2 linked regions of the Mus musculus genome follow. The protein of the gene in region 1 purifies or fractionates together with the protein of each later gene. This does not show direct contact. Links are inferred from orthologs where the notes say so. Each region holds a gene or a part of one and is shown on either strand. Other genes may lie near its edges.

Evidence for each region. The genes of interacting proteins can lie anywhere in the genome.
Region 2: the proteins of Kif23 (region 1) and Shcbp1 purify together in Homo sapiens (affinity purification with western blotting; 9 studies listed by BioGRID and IntAct, with this or other methods). This does not show direct contact. The link is inferred for Mus musculus from reciprocal best matches to the Homo sapiens genes KIF23 and SHCBP1.

The regions. Positions count from the first base shown.
Region 1 is NC_000075.6:61,943,801-61,948,372, reverse strand, and holds the start of Kif23 (kinesin-like protein KIF23), read left to right. Parts: upstream 1-1,573; 5' UTR 1,574-1,750; coding exon 1,751-1,761; intron 1,762-2,953; coding exon 2,954-3,023; intron 3,024-4,041; coding exon 4,042-4,170; intron 4,171-4,572.
Region 2 is NC_000074.6:4,735,337-4,738,806, reverse strand, and holds the end of Shcbp1 (SHC SH2 domain-binding protein 1), read left to right. Parts: intron 1-2,399; coding exon 2,400-2,713; 3' UTR 2,714-2,831; downstream 2,832-3,470. UniProt on the Homo sapiens protein: May play a role in signaling pathways governing cellular proliferation, cell growth and differentiation. May be a component of a novel signaling pathway downstream of Shc. Acts as a positive regulator of FGF signaling in neural progenitor cells.

The sequences.
Region 1 (4,572 bases):
TGAGTTAGAGAGCCTTACTATGGATGGACAGGAGCAAGAGAGAGAAAACCCAGCATGAGTCAAAGCTACAGATGGAGCATGGGAGAGCCCCTCCAGTGTCCTTCAGTGAGAGCCTCCACCGCTTTCAACGCTTAGGGCCATGCCCATAGTGGTAAGCACCGAGCGTGCAACAGTGCCATCTAGCGAGGCTGAAGAGGATACGCTGGGAGAGGACTCCGTAAACAGGGGCCGGGCACCGCGTGGGGTGATGCTGAAATCAACGGTGCAGTGAGGGGCGGCAGGGGCTCTGGGATCCAGAGAAGGTGAGGCATTCTCCGAGGAAAGGAAGGCTGAGAGACAGCAGAGAGACTCGAGTGTGGGGGCAGAAACGTTCCACGCATGAGCGTTGGGCTTGGGACAGGTGAGAGGTGACGCAACTGAACAGGAAGACTAGCCTCAGGGCCCCACTGAGGGTCTCAAGCAAAGGGCGATGACCCACCCTAGGGCTCTCCCAGACCTGTGACTTATAGGTGAGAGTGCAGTCAAATGGATCGGTTTTGGAAAGTGATGGTGGCAAAGCCTGGTAGCTTTCTATCTGCTTCTGGAAATTTATCCATGGATGCATTTTCAGGTTTATTCATCGAAGCAGTTTGCAACAGTAAATATTGGAAAGACTAATGTCCAGTAATATGGACATTAACTATGGATATTAAACTGGCTATCCTTATCAGTGCTGGCCCTAAAGGAAGTTCTAAGTGGAGCTTGAGTCACAGAACGCAGGTGTGGCTACATCCCTGGGGAATCGTCAGCATGGGGGCTGGGATTAAATGAGAAAGAATCAACTTGTAGAAGGCAAAGGGTAAACGGTGGTTGCACAAGGGCAGTGGGTAGATTTTATGCATCTCTGTATATCCAGGAAACATCAAAATCAAGAATTTGAAGGTTAAGGATGTGTGGCTTAGTGGTATCACCTTTGCCTAACATTGTGAGGCTCTAGGTTTGATCACTAGCACCATGAAACACACACACACACACACACACACACACACACACACACACACACAGAGAGAGAGAGAGAGAGAGAGAGAGAGAGAGAGAGAGAACTGGAGAATCCAGAGAAAGGAACTTACAACAGGTTGTCTGCCAAGTTGGTATAGTCTTCAAGATCATTCTGGGGTCCTCACTGTAAGTGTGAGGCCAGCCTGGGATACAAGATACTCTCGTCTCAAAATAAATATCAAAAGTAAGATAAAATGTAAACGTAGAACTAAAAGTAAAGGTAAAAATAAAATATAAATACAATAAAATGAATAAGATGATGTGGTAGCCAGCGGCCAGCCTGAAATTAGAACATGCCCGACCAAGGCTTTACTTCCTTAGAGGTTCTCAGGACAAAGACTGGGAGATCTCAGCTTCTGCGTCAGAACGGAAGGGCGGAAGGGCCGGGATTTCCCCTCTCAGGTTTTTCTCCAGCGCTGCCCTCCTCAGCCTCCGGCTGGCGCCCTTGGGTTGCCAAGGAGACGAGCGCCCCTGCTGGCCGTGCCAGCGCTCCCCGAGGCCCCGCCCCTTCGCCGCAGGCGGCCGCTGATTGGCCTGTTTGAAATGCGCCGGGCGGGCGCACACTTGGGCTTGCAGCGTCGCCGCCGGGCTCTCCTCAGATTGAGTCCTGGTCCCCGCGGCCGTGGTTTGCTCGGCTTAGTTCCCGCCAGCCTTGCTCCTGTCGGAGCCCGACGTCCCGCGCGCGCGTCAGGATAGCACGGAGCCTGCGGTCATGAAGTCAGCGTGAGTACTGGTGGGAGGACTGCGTGGGGGTCGCCGCCCTCCTCACGCTGAGACTGGGGACTGCCCGGGAGCTGAGTCCGTAGTACAGTGTAGGCCGAAGCTCCGCACTGCAGAGTTCTGGTGGCTGGCGACCCTGGTGTGCCGGCGCCCTCCCAGTCCTCTGAGCCCGCGAAGGCTGCCTCCGAATCCGGGGCTGTCTGCCACCACCTCCTCGGGTTGCCATCCTTTGGGCTGCCCATCCCTCCCCAGCTTCCTTCCTCCCCGCCCGCTGCGCAGGTGGCAGGTCTGGGGACCCCGGGCGGCGCGCAGCCGGGGTGCGCGCTGGCACTTTGGGGGAGTTGAGCCTCCACAGCTCCGTCGGCATCCCTTCCCTAGTTCTAGCCTTGAGGTCAGGGTCCTTCTGCAGCTCCGCCACCTTGCGCTATCTTTGTCCCCAGGCCATCCCACACGCCTACTCTATCTCCCACGCCCACATTCCTCAGTATTCCTAGACTCTTCAGGAGAGCCACATCCTGGTTACACTTTTACTGCGAAGGAGGGCTGGCTTTAGAAATCGTTACTTTCACACGCACACACACGAAAAAAAAAAAAAACGGAACTTTTTAAAATGAGGAAACGTCAGTCTTTATATTTACTTAAGGATACCTACCCTAGTATATCGCTGGACTCTGGTTTGCTTCTAGTTTACGTGTGACTCTATTGAGAAAAGTACTTTAATAATCTACAGTCTAAACGAGTCTTTTGGTTTAATTTGTGTTAAATATTCTTGTAGCCTATAAACGAGAAAGGAAAAAAAAGTTAAATGATAGAGAATGTTGAAATAAAATAATTTTTTATATTGTTTACTTAAAATAGCAAGACATTTCAGCATTGTGAATAATCTAATCTTCCTACATAGCATGAGCAAATCTCTGAATTTGCACTCCAACACTTAAAAAAAATACAAACAAAAGTTCCACTGAGTACTAATGGTATCAAAAGTGTATTTTCCCAATTGAAATTTTAATGAGTTAAATTACATATACCACATTTCTCGAGTACAGTTTATTGTTTATATACATGTTATTTGCTGTGCGGTATTTGAGATTGCTGGGAAATGATTTTTTTAAGCCTTAGGAAGTTCATTGTTAGAATTTGTGATGTCTTCTATGTTAGTGTTGAATTTATGGCTTTTTTTTCTCTTTTTAACCAGGAAGGCTAAGACGGTCAGAAAACCTGTAATAAAAAAAGGATCTCAGACAAACCTTAAAGATCCAGTGGGGGTAAGGTGTGTGTGTGTGTGTGTGTGTGTGTGTGTATTTTCTTTCTTTAGTCCACTTCTTGTATGTGTGTGCTTGAAAGGGGAGGAAAGCAATATGAAAGTCGGGTTAAAGAGCACGCAGTTAAACCGATGCACTGAATTGTATAAAGCTGGGTTTAGCTGGGAAGTTTGCTTTCTGTAAAGGGACTCTTTAGTTGTTGACTGCAAACCTACTATCACTAATTAGATTTGAAAGGTTAAATGGTCTCTCCCAGCAGGTTCTACTCTTTGGGGTGGGGATGGGTGGGGACTTTTTCCTCAAGTCTTAGCCCTCTCCCACCTGTGTGTGGTAACTGACACGTACTCAAAGTTCATAGAGACTAGTGCAGAATAACTGGATTTAGTTAGTACCTCTTCCTGAAAAGAAGTTTCTGAATATCCCCTCCATCCCCCCACTGCCACTGCAGAGGGTCTCTGGCTCCCAACTGTACCACCTGCTGTGAACACAGCTATACAGGGTTTCCCCAAATGAGGTCCTCTACCCTCCAGATGCTGTGATTACAAAGTGAGCTACCATGCCCACCTGAGCTGGCTGTTGGAAATAACACCCAACTCTAAAGAATTTAATGGCTTTTTCAGCTATTCAGAGAGATTTTTATGTTGTTGCAATTTTATTTGTGCACAACAGTGAAGAGATTACGGTTCAGTTTAATATTTTAACCTAAACTTATTTTGATTTAATGCACCTTTGCATTTGATCATTCTGAGCTGTAGATTTGTTTTTTGTGACTCAGGAATTTATGTTTGTAGGCGAATAAACAGAACTTAAATGGAAAGTCAAGTGTGTGCTGAACATTCACAGAGGTGCTTGCCTAGAGTCCCAGCATCCTGGAGACTAGCAGGCAGATTGCTGAGAGCTCCAGTCCACCTTGGCCTACAGACTGAGAACTTGTGTCTCAACAAACGAAACAAACAGAAAAGCCAAAAAGAAAAATCAGGCAAAAAGTCAACCTTGTTTGAACACCTCTTTCTTTTTCCAGGTGTACTGTAGGGTTCGCCCCCTGAGCTTTCCTGACCAAGAATGCTGTGTGGAAGTGATCAATAGTACAACCCTGCAGCTCCACACTCCTGAGGGCTATCGACTCAACAGAAATGGGGACTATAAGGAGGTAGGTTCCTAGTGGAAGGAACCAAATTGTTTTCAGTTTTGGATTTAAAAATTCATGTGTGATCTCATTTGTGGGAAGGAATACTTTAGCCACCTTATCTAAAGTGTCTTTCATTTCTAGGACGTGCAGATAGAGTTTTGGAATGATGGAATTATCCGGTTGCTTTCAGGGGATGATGATGATTCTTCTTCTTTTCCTCTTCTTCCTCTTCTTCCTCCTCTTCCTCCTCCTCCTCCTCCTCCCTCTCTCTCCTTTTGGTTTTTTTTTTGTTTGTTTCCTTTTGTATTTTTGAGGCAGGGTCTTACTGTGTAGCCCTGGCTATCCTGAAACTCATTATATAGACTAGGCTGGTGGCTTGGAACTCACAGAGATCTGCTTGCCTCTGTCTTCTGAGTGGTAGGA
Region 2 (3,470 bases), on another chromosome or scaffold:
CATAGAGATAGAACAAGGTCAGAGAGAATGGTGAAGCAATTATTGAATCTAAGCATAGAAATTCAAATTTCAAATTAAGCATTGAAATTGCTAATTTCAAATTTAGCTTGTTGATCTGTTCATTTGGAGCTTCAGTGTGGTTCAGTAAGTCTTCTTGGCTTCTTGCGTATAAAACAAAATGACTTCTGTAGATATTTGTGGAGGATAGAAGTAAGAAATGAATTTTCTAAGTTTGAAGTTTCTTTTGCGTTTACTTTTCATTGGTAAATGAAAAGTTTCTCTCAGTTACCACTTTTCCTGACAGAAAAGGAAAGCACACACAGTGGAAATTTGTAAATCTCAAGCCACTGATGTGTAAATCACTTTTAAATATAAGACCTAAAGAAGTAAAAAGTACTAGTATGGCTGTGGAAATTTGAAGTGGTTTGAAGAATAGGCCTTGTCATCCTTCAGGAGCCCTTCCAGTCAGGACAGAACAAAGAACAGCTGAGATGCATGTGGAAGAGGCCCTTACCTTTTAAGCTCTGGAGGACGAATCTACACCCAATGCTACTCGTGTCATTCGTCTGCAGAGTCCGTGGTATAGATCTTAGGACTAAGCTTGGCTGGAATCATTCTGTAGCCCCATTGATTAAGATACACAGATTCAAGCTTATGCTTTGAATCTTCTGCAGCCAGCTAGGAAAAACAAAAACAAAAAACTTGCCTAGATAGGCTTAATCACATTAGAAGATAATAATAACATTGGAAGATAATAACAAAATATTTTTGCATTTAGCAATCATGAGAGTGTCAGGAGCTATCTAGGAAAGGCTAAGGCTAGCAGATGACCTTTCTCAAGGTGACCCACCATTTTTGCATGGGTGAGCTCTGAGAGGCAAGGTCCCTAGGCACTTCATCTCAGGATTGCTTCTTGCAGCTGCTATACCTTTCCTGTCACTATTATATAGCCTAAGGATTCCTGGGCATTAACCTACCACTGTTGAGCAGATTTCCTGCAGATCAACATAAAGGCGAACTTTCATAATTGCTGTTTAGATGAATTAATGATAGAATTCCTGATTTGATTCAAATAATCTTAGGAAGAAAGTTTTAAGATGGTTTTATTTGTTTTACTAGAAATATGTAATAAAATTAGAATCAAGAATGAAATATGCCCACTTCTCATAAATAGTAAGTAAGAGCTACATAATAAGCAATACAATGAGCTTTTATAATTACACTAAAAAACCATATATGCTTGGGAGAAATTTGTGTTAAAGCAAAAACATTCAGGTGCAAGGATGAAGCCACAAGTGTGCACTATGATAAGGCAAGGCCATGTAAAGACTTTTGCGTTGAACTTATAATGAGCTTACAATGTGAAACAGTGCTTTGTACTTATTATTAATACTTCTCTGTAACTCCCCTTTCATGTAACATTTTATCTATGAGGTAATTCTTACATAGAGAACTTTTTGTCTAAAAAGCTATGAAAAAAAAAAAGCTGAAAGTAATAAAGACAGATGGTGTAACTAGTTTCCACCTCACCTGGTGTGTGTGTTGTCTGTGTGAGTGGCTTTTTTCCTTTCCGTTCTTCTCTCTCTGGTTCAAAAAGACGTAATGAGCTTTCTGGCCAGTGAGAGGCTTCTTAGCTGACTGGCCAGAGACAAAAGCACTAGCAATAAATCCTTTTCATAATTGCCCAGCACTTGTTCAAGCACAGAGAGTTAGAGCAAAAGGAAGCCAGTGGTTTTCATCCAGAAAATAAGCAAGAGAGTGTTAAGTTTGCAGAAGCCATCAGCTTCTAGCCCCCAGAGTTACAGAGCTGGAGATCATCCAACTCTGTGTTCCACCTCAACTCCAAACCCCAGGAGGCCAGGGCAGGCCACCAGCATGAGAGTACAACTCTTTTTTTCTTTCTTTTTTTTTTTTTTTTTTTTAATTTGGTTTTACAAGACAGGGTTTCGCTGTGTAGCCCTGGCTGTCCTGGAACTCTGTAGACCAGGCTGGCCTCAAACTCAGAAATCCACCTACCTCTGCCTTCCAAGTGCTGGGATTAAAGGCATGCGCCACCACGCCTGGCTGAGAGTACAACTCTTGAGGATGGGAACTAGCTAGTAGATTGTGAGTTTAACAACTAGCTCCCAGTACATAGCTTAGCAGATAGTAAATATCTAGGAACATATCTGTCCAGTGACTGAGATTTTAGGATGAAGAAGGTAAACAAAGTTTAAAATTAATGACCCTATTAATGAAACTTTGCAAGAAGATCTAAGTAGCTACTCATTGAGATTTTTATAGTAAAGAAATTCTATAAACTCTTGGCAGAAAATACTTGAATCTAAAAGACTGTATTAGAAATATCTCCTTGTTTGTTTAAACTGTATGTTTAACTTCATTATAATTTGTTTCCTCAGACAATATGGTTCAGAAAAATAAAGAGGCAGATGTCACTGAAGGATTAGATCTGGAAGAAATGCTTCAGTGTGTGGCTAGCAAAATGGAGCCTTATGCCACAGCTGACTTTAATGAACAAGCTAAGGGAAACTGTGAAATTATAAATGAACTACTTGCTATTTCCATGCAAAAAGGCCGGATGAAGAAAAGACTGAGTGAACTTGGGATTACACAAGCTGATGACAACATAATGTCACAGGAGATGTTTATTGAAATTATGGGGAACCAGTTTAAGTGGAATGGCAAAGGGAGTTTTGGCACATTTCTTTACTAGCTACAATAATATCAATACTCACAAAATACTGTATTTTGAACATGTCTTAAGTATGCTGCTTATATACTTTGCTTCATTTGCTTCATGGCTGTGTATTATATAAAGTGTACTTGATTAAGCTTGTGTGAAATGTGGATTTATTTCTATCTATATGTATTACATACAAAGCACACCTTTGTAAGAAAGCCACAAAAAACATAAAATATGACTGTAGATGTAGTGAAGGAAGATGAAATATTGTAACTTGTGAGTTGTCTAGGAGCCAGCGGCCCTGGCCTGGGGCTGAGAACAAAGCAGAACAGGCCCAGGCATGCCAGGGCAAGGCTGTTGTTAAGGCATTCCTAAGAACATCTTGACAGTAAAGATGGAAAGGTATGCAAGGACAAACAGGGCTATATTATCTGAGTCAACACCATCTGGCCGGAACCTCCCCTCAATCCGAGGACAAGCAGGGCTATCTTGTCTGAGTCAACACCATCTGGCCGGAACCTCCCTTCTGTCTATTACCCCTTGGCGCCGGGTAAAGTCATACATCAACTGGTTGTTATGTGAACAAAGATAAGCCCCAAGCCCACCGGAACAAAGTCCTGATGCCCCTTTTTGCTGACATATAATCTTTCTGTTAATATTTTAATGAGCCAATCCAGTACCTTTGCTAAAATTCCTCTTACCCCTAACCCTTTGCTTCTATTAAAAACCCCTAGCTTCCGAGCCCCAGTGTTGACTTCCCTGCCTCCTGTGTGAGGTACATGTTGGC